Linked DNA regions of Stegostoma tigrinum. The protein of the gene in region 3 interacts with the protein of the main gene of each other region in a pairwise test. Links are inferred from orthologs where the notes say so. Each region holds a gene or a part of one and is shown on either strand. Other genes may lie near its edges.

What was found.
Region 1: the proteins of insulin receptor-like (region 3) and shc1 interact in a two-hybrid assay, tested with the Homo sapiens proteins (2 studies listed by BioGRID and IntAct). The link is inferred for Stegostoma tigrinum from reciprocal best matches to the Homo sapiens genes INSR and SHC1.
Region 2: the proteins of insulin receptor-like (region 3) and mad2l1 interact in binary tests that used the Homo sapiens proteins (3 or more experiments, as listed by UniProt). The link is inferred for Stegostoma tigrinum from reciprocal best matches to the Homo sapiens genes INSR and MAD2L1.

What each region holds. Positions count from the first base shown.
Region 1 is NC_081400.1:5,338,496-5,346,315, reverse strand, and holds the start of shc1 (SHC-transforming protein 1), read right to left. Parts: upstream 3,044-7,820; 5' UTR 2,135-3,043; coding exon 1,616-2,134; intron 1-1,615. UniProt on the Homo sapiens protein: Signaling adapter that couples activated growth factor receptors to signaling pathways. Participates in a signaling cascade initiated by activated KIT and KITLG/SCF.
Region 2 is NC_081354.1:68,625,649-68,633,146, forward strand, and holds the start of mad2l1 (mitotic spindle assembly checkpoint protein MAD2A), read right to left. Parts: upstream 3,050-7,498; 5' UTR 3,035-3,049; coding exon 2,956-3,034; intron 1-2,955. UniProt on the Homo sapiens protein: Component of the spindle-assembly checkpoint that prevents the onset of anaphase until all chromosomes are properly aligned at the metaphase plate.
Region 3 is NC_081383.1:6,991,448-6,999,378, forward strand, and holds the start of insulin receptor-like, read right to left. Parts: upstream 3,061-7,931; 5' UTR 1,890-3,060; coding exon 1,814-1,889; intron 1-1,813. UniProt on the Homo sapiens protein: Receptor tyrosine kinase which mediates the pleiotropic actions of insulin.

The DNA.
Region 1 (7,820 bases), on a different chromosome or scaffold from region 3:
GGGAGACAGCGAGAAAGTGACAGACTGCAGGGGAGAAAGAGTGTGACAGCGACAGTCTGCAGAGGAGACAGACAGCGACAGACTGCAGGGGAGACAGGCAGCGAGACAGCGACAGACTGCAGGGGAGACAGAGAGTGAGACAGCGACTGACTGCAGGGGAGACAGAGAGTGAGAGAGCGACAGGGGAGCGACTGCAGGGGAGACAGACAGCGAGGAAAGAAAGCTAGTGAGAGAAAGAGAGAGAGAGGCAGCAAGAGATAGAAGAAGACAAACAGGCTGAGACAACAGATCAGAGTGAGAGAGAGACAGACAGAATGAGAGAGAGAGTGACAGACAGAGTGAGAGAGAGAGAGACAGACAGAGTCAGAGAGAGAGAGAAATTATCGACATGGAGACAGAGGGCAAGGCAGACGCTCACATCCAGAGTGTGAACAGGAGACAGGATGCTAACTGTTCTGTGAAACAGTGCACTGCAGTCAGCAGGAATGTTTGTTCAGAGCTCATGCTTATTTAGGCAGAGAGTGAGTTGCCACAGACTGGCCAGAGTTTAGTGCAGGGGAAATGACTGGGGTGGAGAGAAACATTTACGGTCCGGGGGTTGGGACTGAAAGGGAGCAGGGAAGAAATGAGAGACGGTGGGGGAGGGAGGCATTAACAGGGTGTAGCTAAGAAGGGAGAACCAGCAGAAAGGGTGCAGCCAAGGGGGCAGTTGGGGGGCAATTGAGAGAGGGTGCAGCCAAGACGGCAGTGGGGGGGCTTTTGAGAAAGGGTGCAGAAGAGGAAGCTGTGGGGGCAAGTGAGAGAGGATGCAGACAAGGGGTCAGTGGAGGGAAATTGAGAGAGGGTGCAGCCGAGGGGGCAGTGGGGGGTAATTGAGAGGGGGTGCAGCCGAGGGGGCAGTGGGGGGTAATTGAGAGGGGGTGCAGCCGAGGGGTCAGTGGGGGTTAATTGAGAGAGGGTGCAGACGGGAGGTCAGTGGGGGACAATTGAGAGGGGTTGCAGCCGAGGGGGCAGCGGGGGGTAATTGAGAGGGGGTGCAGCCAAGGGGTCAGTGGGGGTTAATTGAGAGAGGGTGCAGACGGGAGGTCAGTGGGGGACAATTGAGAGGGGTTGCAGCCGAGGGGGCAGCGGGGTAATTGAGAGAGGGTGCAGCCGAGGGGGGCGGGTGTGTAATTGAGAGAGAGTGCAGCCGAAGGGGCAGTGGGGGGTAGTTGAGAGAGGGTGCAGCCGAGGGGGCGGGTGTGTAATTGAGAGAGAGTGCAGCCGCGGGGGCAGTGGGGGGTAATTGAGAGAGGGTGCAGACGGGAGGTCAATGGGGGGCAATTGAGAGGGTGTACAGACGAGGAGGCAGTCGGGGGAAATCGGGAGGGGGTGCCGACGACGAGGCAGTGCGGTGTAAGTGGGAGGGGGTGCAGACGAGGAGGCAGTGGGGGGAAATCGGGAAGGGGGTGCAGACGAGGAGGCAGTGGGGTGTTACGTGGGAGGGGGTGCAGGGGCAACTGAAGTACAGCAGGCAATGTAGGAGAAGCTGGAGGGGGGCAGTTGAGACGCTGCAGAGGGTTTGGGGAGGGAGGGAGGGAATGGTATTACACAGAAGAGTCTCAGAGGCACTCACCCGTATGAGGTAGGAGACGCCAGGCCCCATCACCTTGTCGTCTGGGTGAAGCCAGCCACGGCTGGGTTTGTTCACAAAGCTACCGTGCCGGGTCCACTCATCTCCTCCCAGCTGGCCGCCCTCCACCCGTGTCTTCTTACCTCCTCCTCCACCTCCTCCTCCTCCGCAGCCCAGCCTGTTCATGTCCTGCCGAGAGGGAGAGAAGATGGGCACAGCTCCTGAGTCACCAGGCCTCACGCTGCCCGGGGCTGGCACCGTCGTCGCTTCCCCGGGGAACCCCTTCGACTGCAGCAGGCTCGCCGGGTTCGCGAGTTTCAGGTTACCCATCCTCGGGAAGAAGGAGCACAGGGTGGTGGGGCTGTCCTCCGCCCCTGAGGACAGCTCCCCCCCATCATGGGGCAGTATAGGAGCCAGGGAGGAGGAGGAGGAGGAAGGAGGGACCAGCGCCTCCCCATGGACGGCCTCAGACGCGCTGTCGTTGTGTAAGTGACTGTATTTATTCCTATGCAGTAAATCCATGGCTGTACTCACCCAGGGAGGGCAAACCTTCTCTCATGCTCCGGCCTCCTCCTGGGTCTGAACCCAGCCCCCTTTCGGATCTGCTGTTAACTCCCCTACGAATAGAACCAGCCAGCTCGCAAACGGCTCAAACACACGACGGCCTGCGAGGGCTGGAGTACGCTTGCTTTCGCATGTGGTTGGGGCAATGGTGGGTGTCGGGGAAAGGAATATTTCTTGCAATATGTTTAAAATCTGTCGCTCGCTGCACACCTCCCCCCTCCCCTCCCGAGTCAGGTGAACTGATCGGTCCCTCTGGCTCAGATTAAAAGCAAAAACTTCTGCTGAATTCTCGAGGAGACTTGTACAGTCCAGAATGCAGACCCTCTGCACTGATCGAAACAGGGTTCATGGTCCGACAACACACACACACACACACACACACAAGAGATGACAGGCAACAGCGGTGTACAACCATGCAAGGGCCTGACAGCCACAGGGACAGGGCAGGGCTGACTCCTGGACTGTCTGTTGCCTCGGAGTTTCGTGGGCTCTGTCAATCCATGAGGAGACATCTCCATCAGCAGCAGGGCGAAAGAGGCCAGAGAGCTACAGCCCGGGTTCTCATGACTCCTGGACAGAAGCTGCTACAGGCTTCGAATGGGAGGGGAACTCAGCAGCACAGAGAGAGAGAGAGAGAGAGAGAGAGAGAGGTGGGTGGAGGAGACAGAAAAAAATGACAAGAAGCTACTCAGACAGCTTCTGCAAGTTTTATGAATGAAGGAGCGAAGGCAGCTTGAGTGGGCTTTTAGGAGCAGAGAGAGAGAGTGTGTGCATGTGTGGTCATGCGTTATTTCAGCAGTGTTCAGCTAATAGCCTTTGGGGACATTAACTCAATGAGAATAGACTCGCTGATTCATGCACAACAGTTGATGGTCTCCTGGTTCCTCGGAATTCACCATCACAGCCTCCTCCAGAAAGTTCTCCGGCCTGGCCTATTTTCCCTCTATTCTTTACATTCCATCGCAACACCATGCACAGCAAGGTTCACCGCCCCCTCCCCCCAGCGACACAGTCCACCCACCCCCCACCCCCTCAAACATTCCCAGGGACAGGGACGGCGCAGGGTCAGATACAGAGTAAAGCCTCATCTACACTGTTTCCCCCACATCAGACACTCCCAGGGACAGGGACAGCTTGGGGTTAGATACAGAGTAAAGCTCCCTCTACACTGTTTCCCCCTCGCCATCAAACACTCCCAGGGACAGCATGGGGTTAGATACAGAGTAAAGCTCCCTCTACACTGTACCCCCTCATTCAACACTGCCAGATCAGGGCCAGCACAGGGTCAAATACAGAGTAAAGCTCCCTCTACACCGTTTCCCCCCCTTCCTCCATCAAACACTGCCAGTCTTGAGTGAACGTTAAGATCCCGAGGGGCCTTGACAGGGAGGGCTTGTGGACAGGATGTTTCCTCTTGGGGAGGAATCCAGAACAAGGGGGGAATCACCGATTCAAAGTCAGGGCCGCTCTCTTCAAACAGGGAGTGGCTCATCACCAGGTTTTGAGTTTCAATGACTCTGTAACTCCATGACGGTGGGAGCCGAGAGTTTGAATATTTTTAAGACCGGGGTAGATATAGTCTTCTGAAGCGAGATGGGGGTGAGGGAAGCTGTCGGGGGAAGAGGCGAGAATCTGGAGTAACGAGATCAGCTAAAACGATTGTGAATGGCACAGTGGGGCTCGAGGAGATGGACTGACTGTTTAATCCTGCTCCTAATTCCTCTATTTGCATTCCCGAGCCCCTCAGGCTGTGTCGAAATTCCGAGCTTTTGTTTCAACGTCCAGTGCTGCCCACCCTGTTATAGGAAGGATATTGTTAAACTGGAGAGGGTTCAGAAAAGATACAACAGGATGTTGCCAGGAATGGAAGGCCTGAGGTATAAAAATAGCCTGGTTAGGTTGGGACCTTTCTTCACTGGAGGCTGAGCTTATAAGCCTTTTGGAGGTTTATAAAATCGTGAGGGGCACAGATAAGGTGAATAGCCAAGGTCTTTTCCCCGCCGAGGGTAGGGGAGTCCAAAGGCAGAGGAGATAACAGGGACTGCAGATGCTGGAGAATCCGAGATAACAAAGTGTGGGGCTGGAAGAACTCAGCAGGCCGCGCAGCATCTCAGGAGCAGGAAAGCTGACGTTTCGGGCCTAGAAGGGTCCAGGAAGGCTTCTAAGATGCTGCTCGACCTGCTGTGTTCTTCCAGCCCTACACATTGTTACCAAAGGCAGAGGAACATGGGTTTAAGGTGAGAGGGGCAAGATTTAAAATGGACACGAGGGGCAACCTTTTGTTTAAAACACAGAGAACGGTTCGTGTGTGGAATGAACGGCTGGGGAAGCGATGGAAGCAGACACTGGTACAATGTTTAAAAAGACATTTGAATAAGGACATGAATAGGGAAGGGATAGGGGGTCAGGAACAGGGGAAACGGCACAAGGACTATGATTATGGTCAGCAGCTGGGTACTTCAGGGTCAACCACATTGCTGTGGGTCTGGAAGAACTCAGCAGGTAGCGCAGCATCTCAGGAGCAGGAAAACTGATGTTTCGAGCCTAGAAGGGTCTAGGAAGGCTCCTAAGATGCTGCTTGGCCTGCTGTGTTCTTCCAGCCCTACAGTGTAGGCCAGACCAGGTAAGGACAGCAGTTTCCTTCCCTAAAGGGTGTTGGTGAACCACACGGGTTTTTCCCGACAATCGAAATTTGAACGTGGAAAGAACATACAAGGAGAAAGCAGACTGGACCAGTTACTTTTTCTCAGAAAGGCCGTCCTTTGGTCACAGCACAAGGCGAGGCCGTTCGTCCCGGCGTGACAATACTAGCTCCCTGCACCCCACCTTTAGCGCTGCCAATGTCCCTCCGCAGAAAGTGATCCAATTAATTTTTTTGGAACTGAACTGAGCAGGGAAATGTTTCAGCTGACTCTACTTACACTAGAACACAGTAACTAGCAGATCGTTCAGCCCGTTTATGGATGTTCTGCCATTCAACACAATCATGGCTGATCTCAACTTGGCCTTAACACCACTGCCCTGCACGCTCCCTGCAACCTGTTGCCAATAAATTGAGTTAAACAAGCTAATCTCCTCCTTCAACTTACTCAGCGTTCCAGCATTCACTGCTCTCTGCGTACCTGAGCCCCACAGATTTCCTTCGTCAGATGACGGTCCTCCTCATCTCTGTTTTAAAACTTATTCTAAACCCTTGGCCTCTCATTCAAGGCTGCCCCACAAGGAGAAACATCTGCTCCACATCTACTTTATCAACCTCCTTTCATGTCTGTTTCGCCTCAATTAGACCTCCTTTCATTCCTCTCAAAACCAGAGAGAATCCAACTAAACCGCTCAATTTCTCCTCAGTGGTTAGCACTGCTGCCTCATGGCAACAGGGACCCGGGTTCGAACACACCCTCCTGACTGTGCGGAGTTTGCACATTTTCCCCGTGTCTGTGTGGGTTTCCTCCGGGTGCTCTGGTTTCCTCCCACAGTCCAAAGATGTGCAGGTTAGGGTGGGATTGGCCGTGTTAAATTGTCCCGTAGTGCCCAGGGATGTGCGGGTTAGGGTGGATTGGCCGTGCTAAATTGTCCCGTAGTGCCCAGGGATGTGCGGGTTAGGGTGGCTTGGCCGTGGTAAATTGTCCCGTAGTGCCCAGGGATGTGCGGGTTAGGGTGGGATTGGCCGTGCTGAATTGTCCCATAGTGCCCAGGGATGTGTGGGTTAGGGTGGATTGGCCGTGCTAAATTGTCCCGTAGTGCCCAGAGATGTGCGGGTTAGGGTGGATTGGCCGTGCTAAATTGTCTCGTAGTGCCCAGGGATGTGCGGGTTAGGGTGGGTTGGCCGTGCTAAAATATGCAGGTTAGTGTGGACTTGCCATGGGGGACATGGGGATAAGGAGTTTGGTGGGGGGGGGGGGCGAGGGTTGTGTTGTAGAGGCTGGAGGAGGTGACAGAGATAGGGAGGGAGTGTAAGTGGCTGGAGGGGGTGACAGAGATAGGGAGGGGGTGTAGGGGGTTGGAGGGGGGCACAGAGATAGGGAGGGGGTGTAGGGGGCTGGAGGGGGTGACAAAGACTTCCCTGAGCCCCAGCAACATTGAGCTTCGGTGATTCAGTTCCTTTTGCAGCAGAGCTTACAGTAGCCCTTCCTGAACTGGAGCATGCCTCTCTCTCTCTTTCCGTCTCACTATCACACGCACACTGTCTTCTAGTCACGTTGCCTGTCACCTTTAAAGTCCTGTTCAGTGACACCCCACACTATTTTTAGTAACCAGTCAGAAACTTTGCCACATGTGTCACAGAATTGCAGCTGCTCAGCAATGCTACATGTCCTGCAGAACAGAAACACTCCGTTCGGTTGAACCAGTTTGTAATCGCAAACCAGAGATAATGGGAACCGCAGATGCTGGAGGATCCAAGATAACAAAGTATGGAGCTGGATGAACACAGCAGGCCAAGCAGCATCTCAGGAGCACCAAAGCTGACGTTTAGGGCCTAGACCCTTCATCAGAAAAAAGGATAACACCCTTACTGGCGTAACATTCACAAAAGAGGAGGAAAACAATAAGAAACTGCCATTCCTAGATGTCACAGTAGAGCGAACAGCCAATGGGGAACTTCAAACCAGCGTCTGCAGGAAAACAACACATCCGGACCAAATACTGAACTACAGGAGCAACCATCCCAACACCCACAAACGAAGCTGCATTAGAACATTATTCCAACGAGCCACCACACACTGCAGCACCGAGGAACTACGCAGAGCAGAGGAAAATCACCTGTACAGCGTATTCAAAAAGAATGGGTATCCTATGAACACAGTCCACCGATTTCTCAGCAACAAACCCAAACAAACAGACAAAACGGGCCCAGAAACCATAACCACACTCCCCTACAAAATACCTTGCAAGAACTGTGACAAACACTACATTGGACAAACAGGCAGTGAGTCTAATTAACTTAATTCACCCTCAAACTGTCTCGCTGTGAAAAAAAAAGATCTCAATCTCCTCAAGCCCCACTGAGCGAACCAAAACAAAAGCAGAATTCCCAGAGACAACATGATTCACGAACAGCACTCCGAAGGTGAGGAGCCACCAGAAAACTACAATCTACCTCTTACGGCATGTGGTCATAGCAGGTGAAATCGGCTGAGCGGCAGACGAGACTTTAGGAGGCAAGATAAAAGCAAAATGGGTGGTGGAGTGGAGAGTGAAGAAGGTTTACCTAAGATTACAGATTGGTCAGTCTGGGTGGGATGTCGTTCCCGCGGTTGGTGTGGACTCGTTGGGCCGAATGGCCTGCTTGCACATTGCAGGGATTCTATATCAATGTGTAAGTCAATGCATTAGAAGCAGTTCATAGAAGGTTTTCCAGATTAATTCCAGGAATGAGTCAGGAGCCTGATGAGGAAGGGCCATACAGCCTAGGCCTACCGGAGCATGGGGTATTTGAGGGGTGATCTTGCAGAGGTTTGTCAAATCAGGAGGGGACGTCGATAAGGTTCATAGCCTTGATCATTGGGTCAATGGGCTGAGGAGGTGGCAGATGGGGTTTAATTTGGGTAAATGCGAGGAGCTGCATTTTGGTGAAACTAACGTGGGCAGGACTTATACAGTTAATGGTATGGCCTTGAGGTCGTGCTGTAGAACAGAGAGAACG
Region 2 (7,498 bases), on a different chromosome or scaffold from region 3:
AGCAGATGCAATAAATTATTGTGAAGTACTGCGTCTATGCGCACAAATGCAGCAGTTTTTAGATAATGTTTTAAGAGGCAATAAAACAAAGGTCAGTTAATTGATCCGTGATGACAATTGTGGATGGAGGAATGAGTCAGAACAGGCTCCTCACACCTTTTCAATAAAGGATGTAGAATCTTTAATATTCACTTATAAAGATTTGAAGGAATACAGGCTCAGACATTTGATGGCCAGAGTTCTTGGAACAGAGTAAATTAGAGGACCACGTGGAATCCTCAATGCTTCTGACTATGAGAATTGCTCAGGAAACAAATTCTTTAGGGTAATTTGCACGTCCAGAGCCCTTTGAAGAACCCATTAAAAGAGGGGAAGTTGAAGAATCCCAACTTGCATGAGCTTTACAGATACTAAAGAAAAATGGGTTAAAAAATGTAAATGTAATTCCCACTTAACTACTGACCATCCCTAATTCCCCACTGCACCACTCCCTACATTACACTGCACACCACCAAACCCCAACCGTGTTGGGATGATATACATACTCTCACTGACCTGAATGTGAGATGTACCTTCCTTCTCCTCCTGATCTTTTACTTCTGGAAGTCACATCCTGCCCCTTCCTGAAATCTGAGTCACAAACCCAAGCTCCCACTGATGGGCCAGGTACCCCTCACTCTGCCTGATAGTCTAACTTCCAACACACTCAACCCCAGGCCTGATGTTCTCCACCCACCAGTCAGCCCCAAGACATCCCCCTATCAAGAATTAAACAACCCACAGACCCCAATTACCCTAAACACTCATTCACACACCAGGTACATGCATACTTACCTATTCACAGGAGCTGTCAGCAGTGCTTTGCCTTGCTGGACATTTAAATACCAGACCATGGCACACTGACTACGGCCACAGGGATTGGGGTTTTTAATGATTATTTTCCTCACTGCTGGATTCACAAATTTTTGGACAGGTTCATAACAGGAAGCCCCTATTGGGAATCTTGAGATTTCTTTACATAAAAGATAAAGCAAATAAATTTTAATACAATTGGGGATGGAAATAGAACTTCCAAACCCAATTAGCAGAGCAAAGCAACACAATAATGTATGCATGGAATTGTTATAATGCAACACTCTGCATGGGCGGCATGGTGGCTCAGTGGTTAGCATACAGTCTCACAGCGCCAGGGACCCGGGTTCGATTCCAGCTTTAGGCGACTGTCTGTGTGGAGTTTGCACATGCTGCCTGTGTCTGCGTGGGTTTCCTCTGGGTGCTCCAGTTTCCTCCCACAGTCCAAAGATGTGCAGGCTAGGTAGATTGGCCATAGTGTTCAGTGGTGAGAGAGTCTGGGGGAGATGCTGCAAGGGACGGTGTGGACTTGTTGGGCCGAAGGGCCCGTTTCCACACTGTAGGGAATCTGACCTAATCAATTTGGATCACAAGCCAAGCTTCATGCTTCAGTCCACAAATCTCCCAGCCTAAAAAATAAATGCATAACTGGATGAATAATCTGAAAAACAGAAAACAATTGAAGTTTAAACTGAACACCCTCAAAACATAACCCAATTTCTATGTTCATAATTTGGGCCACTGCTATATTTGAATATTTTAGCACAGTTTATTAAGCTGGCTGTAACAAATGACTAATCGTTAGCATTGCAACAGTTCTAAACAATGTCACAGTTAACATTCTGACAAATGATATTATTTGTAAAAAGCTTTCCTAATATTTCTGAGGACTTATTTGTATTTTATCCCACAAAGGCAGAATTAAAGTAATCATTTTATTTTCATTAAACGTCATAAAACAAAGAATTGCAGATGCTGGAGATCTGAAACTAAAACAGAAATTTACCAGAGAAGCTCAGTAGGTCTGACAGCATCTGTGGGAAGAAAGTAGAGCTAATGTTGAGTCCAGTGACTCCTCTTATAAAGAAGATGCTCTGATGAAGAAGCACTGGACTTGAAACATTAACTCTGCTTTCTTCCCACAGATGCTGATAGACCTGCTGTGCTTCTCCAGCAATTTCTGGAGAGGTTAGATTTCTCGGCTATTTCCTTGATCACCATTAACAATTTTCCCATTTCAAACTGTAATGAGCCTGCATTTGTCTTCACTTTTTTTCACCTTTTTACATGCTTATATAATCTTACTGCAAAATTTTCAGCATAGCTTATGGTTTTACTCATTTTATTTTTGCCCTCAAAATCAATCTCTAGGTCATCCTTTGGTGAATTCCAAATGGCTCCCATGTCTCAGATTTACTACATTTTCTAATAAGTTCACACAACTCTTTGGATTTAATACTATTCCTAATTTCCCTTACTGGCAACAGCTGAGCTTCCTTTGCCTGAGCATTGGAATACATTCATTTGTTTCTTTAATATTCGCTATTACCTAGTCACCATAATGCCTAGTAAGCAATCACAGTTAACTCAACACTAATATCTTTCTAGTTTCTGTTCTTTAGATTCCATACCTGGTTTCAGACTGGATTACTTCATTTCAAAACCTGATAAAGGAATTCACGTAATGGACACTTGTCTACAATTAAAAAGGTACCCATAAAATTATTATGGCTGTGAATGGCTCAAAACTATCTTTGACAGCACAAAGAGCTCACACAAAGAATAGGTTAACATCATTTGCGAGCGCAGAAAGCAGTAGCCATTTTTAAAGATGTGTAATAGACACAGTATATTTCCTGTAGTGCCAAGTTGATCTCACAGAAAAGCCAACCCACTATTTTTGACCAAAGTCTTGAATTTTCCCATATATTTTACTAAAATTTCACCTTAGTTATTCACAGATAATTTATATTTTAAGGCAATTGCTGGACGGTGTTCATTCTCATCTGTCAAGGAAACTGCCCAAAATGTACCCTTACTCCAACGATGGGGATGCAAGTTGCATTCAACATTTTATTTTTCAAACAGTAAAATGGTAGTGACCTGTAGCTGGAGATAAAGTGCTGCCATCCAGTTTCAGGTTTGGTGGGATTTTGTTTTCAACTCCAGGATACTGTTGCATTTTAATAGCAGGTTTTTTTTATTGGGTTTCATTTCTTTGTCAGAGTTTCAAAAGAATGAACTCAGTAATGGAGAGAGCTCGCATCCACTTATTGTTTCACCGAGGGTGACAGAAAGCTTTTGGACACTGGAGCAAAAAGGAGAAGATACAGGGTCATTTTGTGAAAGAATGATCAGGTTTTTATGTACGAGGAGAATAATCTGTTTGTTCTTATCTGCTGACCTTAAGAGTTTGAGAGAGAGCATTCGATGATGGTATGACAGATTATGGCTCTCACAGCCCTGATCATTTACAACAATGCTGGATCACAGAAGTATCGGCAACTACTGTAATTCGTGATCTTTTTTCCTTTATTTGTTGAGGGATCAATTGGGCTCCTGTTAATGATGTGGTACCCATGTAATAGTCGACCCCATAAATGTAACCTTAAGAAATAGTCTAAAAAACAGCATTTATATTTGTGTAAAAGACAAGACACAGAGGAGCAAAGTAGAGATAGCTGATAAATACTGGCACTGAATGAATAGTTCAGAAGTCAAGATAAAACACTTTTAGCCTGAAATGTAACACCGTGACCTATTCTGGGCTGGATTTGCTACCCTAGAGTATCATTTTTGCTATGCCTATGTTAATCTGTGTCAGATCGGGTATATTTTTAATACATTGACAGTACATCAATACAGGATTAACTATCTCACCCTGTGATTCTCATTTACAGTTAATTTTCAATCAACCTTTTCAATACCAGAAGAATAGCTTTTGCAGCAGTATCTTTAGAATGCTGCATACAATTCTTGTCACCCTCCTGTACAGAGGATGGTGTGAAACTTGAGGGGGTGTTGAAAAGATTAACAAAGATGTCATCTAGACTGGAGGGTTTGAGTTATACAGAAAGGACTGAATAGGCTGGGGCCTTTTTCCCCTGGCAGAGGCACTGAGAGGGTGACCTTATAGAGACTTATAAAGTCATGAGGAGCATGGATGGGGTGAATAGCCACTGTCTTTTTCCTACAGTGAGAGAGCCCAAAATTACAGGACACTGGTCTAAGATGAGAGAGGAAAGATTTAAAAAGAACCTGAGGGATGACTTCCCCACACCCCCTCCCCACACAGAGGGTGGTAAGTGTATGGAACAAATTCCCAGCTGATGTGGAACGGTTCTAACAATAAATGTCCAAAAACACTGACAGATCACTACTAAAGCTATATGAAACATAAGCCACATTCATAGCCAAAATTATCTACTTTTAGAAATAACTCTCTGTGCAAACAACTGCAGCATTTAAAAGGCATTTGGATTTAGTATATGACTATGAAAGGTTTAAAATGAATATGGACCAAATGCTGGCAAAATCAGTCTAGGTCAGATTGGGATGCCTGGTTGATGTGGACAAGTTGGACTGAAGAATGTGTTTCCATGCTGTATAACCATTAAATCTGTACAGCACAGCTGCATGACTGCATGAAAATAAAATCAATGCACACAGGACTTGGTTGTGACCAACTGACATTACACCTCCATCTATAAGACAGGGGAGGCTGCAGCTAGGTTAGCGTTCAGAGTACTCGATAGCAGTCAATCCTTTCTGATTGCACAAAATCAAATCTTGGACAGCCGCTGCTCAATATAACAAAGTGTGGAGCTGGATAAACACAGCAGGCCAAGCAGCATCTCAGGAGCACAAAAGCTGACGTTTCGGGCCTAGACCCTTCATCAGAGAGGGGGATGGGGAGGGGGTTCTGGAATAAATAGGGGAGGGGGGGGGAGAAGAGACGGACTGAAGATGGAGAGAAAAGAAGATAGGTGGAGAGGAGAGTATACGCGGGGAGGGGATAGGTCAGTCCAGGGAAGATGGACAGGTCAAGGAGGCGGGATGAGGTGGCAGGTAGGAAATGGAGGTGCGGCTTGAGGTGGGAGGAAGGGATGGGTGAGAGGAAGAACAGGTTAGGGAGGCAGGGATAAGCTGGGCTGGTTTTGGGATGCAGTGGGGGGAGGGGAGATTTTGAAGCTTGTGAAGTCCACATTGATACCATTGGGCTGCAGGGTGCCGAAGCGGAATATGAGTTGCTGTTCCCTGCAACCTTCGGGTGGCATCAATGTGGCACTGCAGGAGGCCCATGATGGACATGCTGTCTGAGGAATGGGAGGGGGAGTTAAAACGGTTCGCGACTGGGAGGTGCAGTTGTTTATTGCAACCGAGCAGAGGTGTTCTGCAAAGCGGTCCCCAAGCCTCCTCTTGGTTTCCCCAATGTAGAGGAAGCCACACCGGGTACAGTGGGTAGATACAGTATACCACATTGGCAGATGTGCGAGTGAACATCTGCTTAATATGGAAAGTCATCTTGGGGCCTGGGATGGGGGTGAGGGAGGTGGTATGGGGGCAAGTGTAGCACTTCCTGCGGTTGCAGGGGAAGGTGCCGGGTGTGGTGGGGTTGGAGGGCAGTGTGGAGCGAACAAGGGAGTCACGGAGAGAGTGGTCTCCCCAGAAGGCAGAGAAGGGTGGGGATGGAAAAATGTCTTGGGTGGTGGGGTCGGATTGTAGATGGCGGAAGTGTTGGAGGATGATGCATTGTATCCGGAGGTTGGTGGGGTGGTATGTGAGAATGAGGGGGTCCTCTTGGGGCGTATGTAGCAGGGGCGGGGTGTGAGGGATGTGTTGCGGGAAATGCGGGAGACGCAGTCAAGGGCATTCTCGATCACTGTGGGGGCGAAGTTGCGGTCCTTGAAGAACGTGGACATCTGGGATGTACGGGAGTGGAATGCCTCATCCTGGGAGCAGATGCAGCAGACGTGGAGGAATTGAGAATAGGGGATAAAATTTTTGCAGGAGGGTGAGTGAGAGGAGGTGTATTCGAGGTCGCTGTTGCAGTCGGTGGGCTTGAAACGGACATCAGTGTCTAGCTGGTTACCTGAGATGGAGACTGAGGTGTCCAGAAAGGTGAGGGATGTGTTGGAGATGGCCCAGGTGAACTTGAGGTTGGGGTGGAAGTTGTTGGTGAAGTGGATGAACTGTTCGAGCTCCTCTGGGGAGCATGAGGCGGCGCCGACATAGTCATCAATGTAACGGAGGAAGAGGTGGGGTTTGGGGCCCATGTAGGTGTGAAGAGGGACTGTTCCACGTAACCTACAAAGAGGCAGGCATAGCTTGGGCCCATGCGGGTACCCATGGCCAGCCCCTTTGTCTGTAGGAAGTGGGAAGAATCGAAAGAGAAGTTGTTGAGGGTGAGGACGAGTTCGGCTAGGCAGATGAGGGTCTTGCTGCAGGGGGACTGGTCGGGCCTGCGGGACAGGAAGAAGCGGAGGGCCTTGAGGCCATCTGCATGAGGAATACTGGTGTATAGGGACTGGACGTCCATGTTGAAAATGAGGTGTAGGGGGCCAGGGAACTGGAAGTTCTGGAGGTAGTGGAGGGCGTGGGTGGTGTCACAGACGTAGGTGGGGAGTTCCTGGACCAAAGGGAAGGAAACGGAGTCCAGATAGGTGGGGATGAGTTCGGTGGGGCAGGAACAGGTGGAAACAATAGGTCGACCAGGGCAGGCAGGTTTGTGGATTTTGGGAAGGAGATAGAAGCGGGTGATGCGGGGTTGGGGAACATTAAGGTTAGAGGCTGTGGGTGGGACGTCCCCTGAGGTGATGAGGTCATGGATGGTGTTGGAGATGATGGTTTGGCGATCACTGCTCAATATAGTTTGTCTTTTTAAAAATCCAGCACACGCTATAGAAATTCATTTGTCACAGGTGATGTGGCTTGCAGAGTCTATATATAGATTAAAGTTATCCATTATTGCTGGATTACTACAATTAGTGTTGTTTTACCTAATCATATTGTTTTATCACGTTATGGGTCCACCAAATCACTACTAAAATGTTTTAAGAAATACAAAGCACGTTCGTACTCAAAAACACCTACTTTTGTAAATAACCCTCTGTACATACAGCCTAGCATCAAAAGCTTCAACATTAAAACTTGCTTAACCTACATAACTGACTGCAGCTCTAAAGCAAACTATTGCTGGTAAATGCCTTGTGGCACCTCATTGCCGATATTTTGAGCACAAGCTTACCTACTTTGCTTCATGTCACACTTAATTTTGCTGAGAATGACCAAACTGGAAGTCGGGGTGTGGGGAGGAGACAGTTACATTTACAGCAACTGTGGACAAGCTTAAGGGCAAATTTCATTCCACTTAGAAGCATTCTCTGACACTTCCGCCATGTACAATCCGACACCAGAGTCATTTTTCCATCCCCACCCTTGTCTGCCTTCCACAAAGACCACTCTCTCCAGGACTCCCTTGTCCGCTCCACACTCCCCTCCAACCCCACCACACCTGGCGCACTTCCCCCTGCAACTGAAGCAAGTGCTACACTTGGCCCCACACCTCCTCCCTCGCCCCCATTCCAGGCCCCAAGATGACTTTGCACATCAAGCAGATGTTCACCTGCACATCTGCCAATGTGGT
Region 3 (7,931 bases):
TGGCTGCCGTGTTTCCTACAATGACAACAGTGACCACATTTCAAAAAATGCTTCACAGTCTGTAAACCACAATTAGTGATGTCTAGTGGCCGTGAAAAGTACAATATTAATACAACTCCCTTTCTCCAGGACGAAACACGTAGTATCCAGAACTCCAGTGAAACAGCTCGTACACCTGAATTCTCACAGCAAATGGAATTTCTAATACAAAAAAAAATTTCAGGGCAAGTGCCGGTCAAACCAAACACATAATTCACAATATTTTTGAAACAAAACAATGGGGTTGAGGTGGAGGGTAAACTAAATAAAGCAGCAGCATTTAAAAGCTGGATTTCAAAGGAGTATCAACAAAAGTGTTCAATAAAATCTATTTGACACATTTTGCAGTTGTGAAAGTGACTCTTATTTACTAGCCAGCTTGCCTTGAACAGCAAAGAATCATCTCCTGGATGACAATGTATTCTCACCCGCTGCGGTCAGATCTGACTGTAATCTATACTTCCACAGGTGAAAGATCTTCGCCCACAATAACACTGTCGCCACATGATAAAAAGAACTCTTTAAAATGCACATTTCTGTCTATAATATTGGGATAACTTTAAATTCTATATTACAGCATTCTCTAAAATAATGGGGCACACTTCATAAGTGATATTTTCTCCCATGCTAGATATTTTAAAAAGATGAAACATTAGTAAGGGGTGGCAATAAATCACATCACAATGTGTTTTTTTAAAAAGTAGGAATGAAAGTCTTTCTTAAAGTCACAGACACAACTTTCACTAGAACCCAGTTTACAAAAACATTTTAATGATCCAACTTTTGACACAAAGAGCCACCATATAACCATGAATCAGTGAAATTCAACTTTATATTACATGGAATCTCAGGCTGTGCCTAATGCTTGAGGAATGCTCTCTTATCCATTTTCAATGCACTGACCGAACAAGTCAAATCTCCTTTTTATTACATGGGATTTTCACTGGTATTCCAGGGATTCAAACAACTTTTGAAAAGTGGATCAGTGATCATGTCCAGATTCATACACTTAGCCAAGAAATCAACATAATCACTAACGTTAGAATGAAATTGCGAGATAAAAAAACTCACACAATGACAGAAAATTCTGGAAAAGAGGTATTTTAATACCTGCAGTGTTTTATAACAAATCAGTATTTTCAAGGTTCCGATATGGAAAGCTCAGAGTTTTCACAAATTAATCTCATACTCTTTCCAAATCAAACCATCACAATCTGTCAACCTGCATATTAATCCCAATGAGGAGCTTCAACATTAATGTCTTTTGAAACGCACACAGACAATTAAAATTGATGTTTTCTCTCCTTAAATAACCTGCATCTGTCCTGCCTTCTCACCAATGTGTTTACTCTGACTGTAACATTCAAAAAAGATCTTCAGTTACAAATCCAAGCAAAATTGGGAAATCGGTTTGAATGTCAGAATGGTAAAAGAACAACTTCACATTGGAAGAAATGAGGTTTTTGTTTTAAAACTGAACATTAAAGAAAACAGGGCCTGTCCAGGCTTCATCCCCGACTCTCGATTTTAGCTGCAGCTACATTCGTGTGAGGTGTCGCCCCTACCCTCTCTAATCCAAACCCAGGCTTTGGGATGCACATTAGGCCGTAAACTACAGCAATCTGGGAGAAGAGGTTGACAGGACTAAATTTTCACACAAATTAGCAGAATTTTAGAAGGAAAAATGCACCCGCGTCAGAATAAATTATCTGTAAACCTTAATGACTGTGAAATTACAAAGCTTGATTTAGTTTGAAGGTTTTTAAACACTTACCTTTTGGTTCTGTTGGGCCAATATTGGCCAGGATGAAGAGGGTCACCATGGCTGGTATCAAAGTCTTCCTCCCCATCCTGGAACTGGAATTCTCCTGGTGCAGATCAAAATCAAAACCCACGGTCCCCACAAGCACACAGGCCTTGGATATAACTGAATAAAAACCAAAATAAAACTCAGGGATGTACAGCAAGCCTAATAAAAGTTGTTTTTGGGACAGCACTTCGAACTGGCAGCTTTTTTCAAAAGAAAGTAATCTCTCAAAGAATAACAACTATTTTAGGGACCCCTCCAAATGAAATTTTCTTGAATCGTCTCTGAACAAATATTAAATAAAGTGATCTTGACAGTTAAATTGGAACAAATTCTTCATTCTGTCTATGAGGGTGGGGGAATAATCTGTATTTTTTCAACCCGTGTCCACAAAATCTTTTTTGGCGAGATTGTTGGGGAGAACAAGGAAATAAAAAAAAACTCCCCTCTCCTTTATTTTGTTTCTGGTGGATTAATTTTTCCACAGCAGCAGAAGAAATCTTCCTCAATTGTCTTCTGCAAAATAAAAGCTCTGGAAATCACATTGGAGTTGTAAAGCTTGTAGCTTCACTGCAAAGTCCCCAGTGCAAGAAAGCCCTCATTTCCTTCTCTTTTATATCATATTCAAACTCCTTTCATATATTTATATTTCCTTTTAACTCGATGATATCACGGGAAGATGAAACTGTCCGCTTTCTTCCCCCACATTACCAGTCCTGAGGAGAGAGAATTAAAAATAAAATCCCTTCAGGAAACAATCTGTCGAGAAAACGACAAACATAAACCAAAATATCCTCCAAGACAATTTTCCTTGAGCCGATATCAACTTGATTTTCTTTGGCTTTCTGCCTAGGCTTCCTCTTCTTTTTTTTCCTCTATTGCAAAGTCGCCCAAAGAAAACATCAAAGAGATCACTAATTCACCATTGGAACAAAACAAAAAAAATGTTTAATAAATTATCAGAACACCAGGCGCCAAACTGCATAACAAAATCCTTCAAGGTATTTTCCCCTTTTGGCTTCAACACACTCCAAACTGATTTTCTTTTTTTCCCAATTATTTTTTTCCTCTTTCTCTTGTGTTTCTTCTTTGTAAAATAAATTGAAATGTAATTGTTCTTTTTTTGAGGGAGGGGAACTGGTGGACAAGCAACAAAATAAAAATACGATTTTGAGGAGCAGAGGAGCCTTGAACCTTAAACCACGCGCAAACTTCTTCTGGCTGTGTCGAGTAAACAAGCACCGCCAGCCCAGTGAGGAGAGGGAGGGGAGAGCAAGTGAGCCTCGACAGTCACAAAAATCTGAACCAGGAGTTTACAGTTTCATGGACTGGACTGTTAAAAACGGAGAGAGACAGAGAGAGAGCGAGAGAGCGAGAGAGAAATCTAAAATCTGGACTGTGGATGCGAGAAGATAAAAAAGAAAACAGGTTTTACAAGACACATTGTTTCGGAGACATTGAAAATGTGAGCGGAGCCACCTCAGATTGGATTGGACTGAAGGCAAAAGAACAATTCAGAGACGAGATAATATTTATTCGAAAAGGGCATTCTGAAATTTTACACAATGTAAGGTAGCACGATAGCAATGTTTGATGAGTATGTGTACTTTTATTTAATCCTGCATTTCAGCAGATGCATTAATGTTCTTTAATTCCCTTCAATTTTCTCCTTATCAGACCTCCAATTCCTTCATAAATTTGGGCCCACTCAAAACTTTCTGATCTGTATCCCAACTCGCACCAAGTCCTGTTTACCCATCACCCCAGTGGGTAGCGGCCTACATTGGCATCAACTTTGAAAATAATTAGATTTAAAATTCTCATCCTTTTTTTCAAAGTCCTCTATCACGGTCCCCTCCCTTTTTGTATAATCCATTTCTGTAACGAGGAAAGAAACTAACTTGCTGTCCTTGCTATTCTGGCCTACATGTGACTCCACATCCATAATAATATGGTTGACTGTTTTCTGCACTCTGAAATGGCTAGCAAGCCAATCAATTTAAGGGTAACTGATCCTGCCATCAATGCCCACATCCCAAGAATGGATAGTATCGCCTAGCCCCATGACGATCTTTGAGATATCTGATTTTGGAATCCTGACCTCTTACAAACCCCTTTTTCTGTTGCTCCACTATTAGGAACTGTGCTCAGTTGTTCAGGTATGAAGCCCTGAGATTTCTTCCTAAATCTCACTGTACCTCTATCACTCTCTCACCCCGTCTTTTAGATGAAATTGTTTGCTCATCTCTTTCATGCAGTCTGAAGTGCAGCACTTTGAGGTGTATTCATATGTCAAAGGTATCATTATTACTGAACATTGTAGACAAATTAGTGAATTTTTTTTATTCATTCACAGGATTCATTCAACATTTATTGACCGTTCCCTAATTGCCCAGAGGGCAAATCACCATGGGTCTGGAGACACAAGTCAGCCAGAACATGTAATGGGTATGAATGAACCATATGGACTTTCCGCCCCTGATAATTAACAATGCTTTCGCGGAGTCTGAATTCCAGATATTTATTGAATTCAAATTCCATCATCTCCCATGGCAGGATTCAAACCCGGATCTGAAGAGCATTAGATATAATAGGAACTGCAGATGCTGGAGAATCCAAGATAACAAGGTGTAGAGCTGGATGAACACAGCAGGCCAAGTAGCATCTTAGGAGCAGGAAAGCTGATGATTCCGGCCTAAACCCATCCCTGCCTCTTTAACTTGTCTGTCTCCTCTCCACCTATCATCTCCTCTATCCATCTTCGATCTGTCTCCCCATCTCTCCCTATTTACTTCGGAACCCTCTTCCTCTCCCCCATTTCTGTTGAAGGGTCCAGGCCTGAAACGTCAGCTTTTCTGCTCCTAAGATGCTGCTTGGCTTGCTGTGATCATCCAGCTCCACACCTTGTTATCTCTGAAGAACATTACCTGGGTTTCTGGATTTACAGTTCAGCAGCAATACCTCTAGGCTATCATCGCCCCTATCAATTAAAAAAGGAATTAGCTAAAAAAAACTTGAATATTTATAAGCACCTTTCGTGACCTCCTTCACCTCAATACATTTTACAGCCAATTAAGTACCTTTTGGGGTATCCTCAGCTTTGTCACTGTAGCCAATTTAAACTTGTTAATTGATCATATGCTCGTATATTGTGCAATGTATTCTCAAACTGGACTTTTTAAATGTTTTGGTATCTGAAAAAATATTTATTCATTCTGTGCTAAATTTTCACTTTTGAATAACGATATATTTTTGGCATTTTGCGTATCAAGTGTCAGCATTGAGCTATCAGCCAGGAATACCATTTGTTAAATACTCCACTCCAACAAAGTGCCTATTGCCCCAGCTGAAAAGAGTTCCCCCTATTGGATCTGTGTGGTATTTTTCAGATTTTACACCAGCCGAAGTGCCTTGAGGAAGGGTCACCAGACCCAAACGTTAATTCTGGTTTCTCTTCACAGATGCTGCCAAACCTGCTGAGCTTTTCCAGCTTCTGCTTTTGTTTATGATTTACAGCGTCCGCTGTACTTTTGGTTTTTATTCAGTGTATTAAAAACTCTATTGTTTCTGTCCTAATTCGCACCAAGTCCCATTCACCCAAGACCCATGTGCTCACAGAACTACATTGGCTCCCAATCACAAAATAGCATAATTTTAGAATTCTCCTTCATGTTTGCCAATTCCTCCATGTTCTTACCTCTCCCTTTCTCTGTAATCTCCTCCAGCACAAAGACCCACTGAGATATCGCCATACATCAAATTTTTATCTTTCGTGGATTAACAATTTTAATCGTTTCACCATGCATTCAGCTGTTTTGACTTTGAACATTTGACTATCCTGCATAACCCACCTCAGCTCCTCTATCTTTCTCTCCCCCATCCTCCTTTAAATAAAATACTTAAACCTTACTTCTTTGACCAAGCTTTTTGTCCCTGTCCTAATAGCTCTTTGTATGGCTCAGGGTCAAATTTTGTTTCCATATGCATCGGTGAAGTAGCTTGAGATTTTTTACCACATAGAGGCACTATAAAAGTGGAAGGTTTTGTTGCTAAATTCCCTCCCAGCAGCATGGTCATGGTTTGAGCCACATGAACTGTAACAGCTCAAGATGACAGCCCATCAATACCTACTCAAGAGCCATTGGCAACACAATGGCTCAGTGGTTAGCACTACTGCCTCACACTGCGAGAGACCTGGATTCAATCTCAGCCTTGGGTGATCATCTGTGTGGAGTTTTCTCTGGGATCTTCCCACAGAACAAAGATGTGCAGTTAGGTAGATTGGCTATTGCAAAATTGCCCGTAGTTTTGGGATGTTTAGGTGAGACGGATTATCCATGGGGCAATGCAGGTTTACAGGGATAGGGTAGGGGGTGGGACTGCATGGATGCTGTTCAAAATACTGTTGTTGATTGGCCTGCTTCTATGATTTAAGAATAGGTAATAAATACTGGCCGTGCCAGGGATGTCCCTGATTCCATAAGCAAATTTTGGGTGGGAAGGTGGCAAAAATGTAAATGTTGTAGAAATTACAAACTAAGGCCATTGACCTGGATGACTAGACATGACAAGACAGACTGTTTCATTTTTACCCGCTGTGACCAAGCCACTGTGGGTTCCCTGTCGCACCCTCACTATCAACCTTCCCATAAATGTTACAAGCAAGGGTCTGAATAGAAGTTACTTCTTCAGTAAGGCAGCCACAGTCAGTAAAACTCAGTCTGATGATGAGAGTCTCCGAAACCATGGTAAAATGATGTGAAAAATACAATTATGAAATACAATCAGAGATAATGGGAACTGCAGATGCTGGAGATTCCAAGATAATAAAATGTGAGGCTGGATGAACACAGCAGGCCAAGCAGCATCTCAGGAACCTCCACAGCCTGCAACCCCAGAGGAGACAGCCACCCTGAGCCCTGCCGAATCTTCACCATCCCCCCAGACCTCCCACTGACTGAGGACGAACGGTCAGTCCTGAGCAAGGGGCTCACCTTTGTCCCCCTACAACCACACATCAACGAATACCAGTCACGGTCGGACACAGAGCAGTTTTTCCGCCGTCTTCGCCTGCATGCCTACTTCTTCAACCGGGAACCCAACCCTCCTTCCACTGACCCCTTCACCCGCTTCCAACACAAGTCCTCCTCCTGGACACCACCCCCAGGCCTCCTACCCTCCCTCGACCTCTTCATCTCCAACTGCCGTCGAGACATTAACCGCCTCAACCTCTCCACCCCTCTCACCCACTCAAAACCAGTCCAACCTGTCTCTGCCTCCCTAACCGGTTCTTCCTCTCACCCATCCCTTCCTCCCACCCCAAGCCGCACCCCCAGCTACCTACTAACCTCATCCCACCTCCTTGACCTGTCCGTCTTCCCTGGACTGACCTATCCCCTCCCTACCTCCCCACCCACACCTTCTCCACCTATCTTCTTTACTCTCCATCTTCGGTCCGCCTCCCCCTCTCTCCCTATTTATTCCAGTTCCCTCCCCCCATCCCCCTCTCTGATGAAGGGTCTAGGCCCGAAACGTCAGCTTTTGTGCTCCTGAGATGCTGCTTGGCCTGCTGTGTTCATCCAGCCTCACATTTTATTATATTATGAAATACAAACTTGCTGGAATTAGCTCATTAACATTCTGTAATTAGGTAGCACTTCTATGACAGGACATGACTGTAATATTTTGATTAATTTAAAGGCGCACATTTTTGCGGGAATTAATCTTTAATCATCTGGTAGCAAATGTTTCCAGGCTAAACATCATTTGACTCCCAATAAGGCAAATATGTGTACGCACCCTTCTTAGCGCCAAAATATTAAACAAGTGTTTTACTCTGCTTTTACAGACAGTGCTTAGACAGTGCTTCACCAGCACACACATGCATGCTCTGCAGCGTGCTTCAACTTGTTTCTTCTTCAAGCTAACCCAATGAATCCATGCTTAGTGGGCTGCAGAACTACAGAGAAAAAGAAGGTTGCAGGTTCTATACAAACCTTTTCAATCTTATCCAGTGTTTGCAGCAAGAGCTTTCCAATTATCTTAGCATTCCAAGCCAGCTGGAAAGAAGAAGGAAACAATCGGG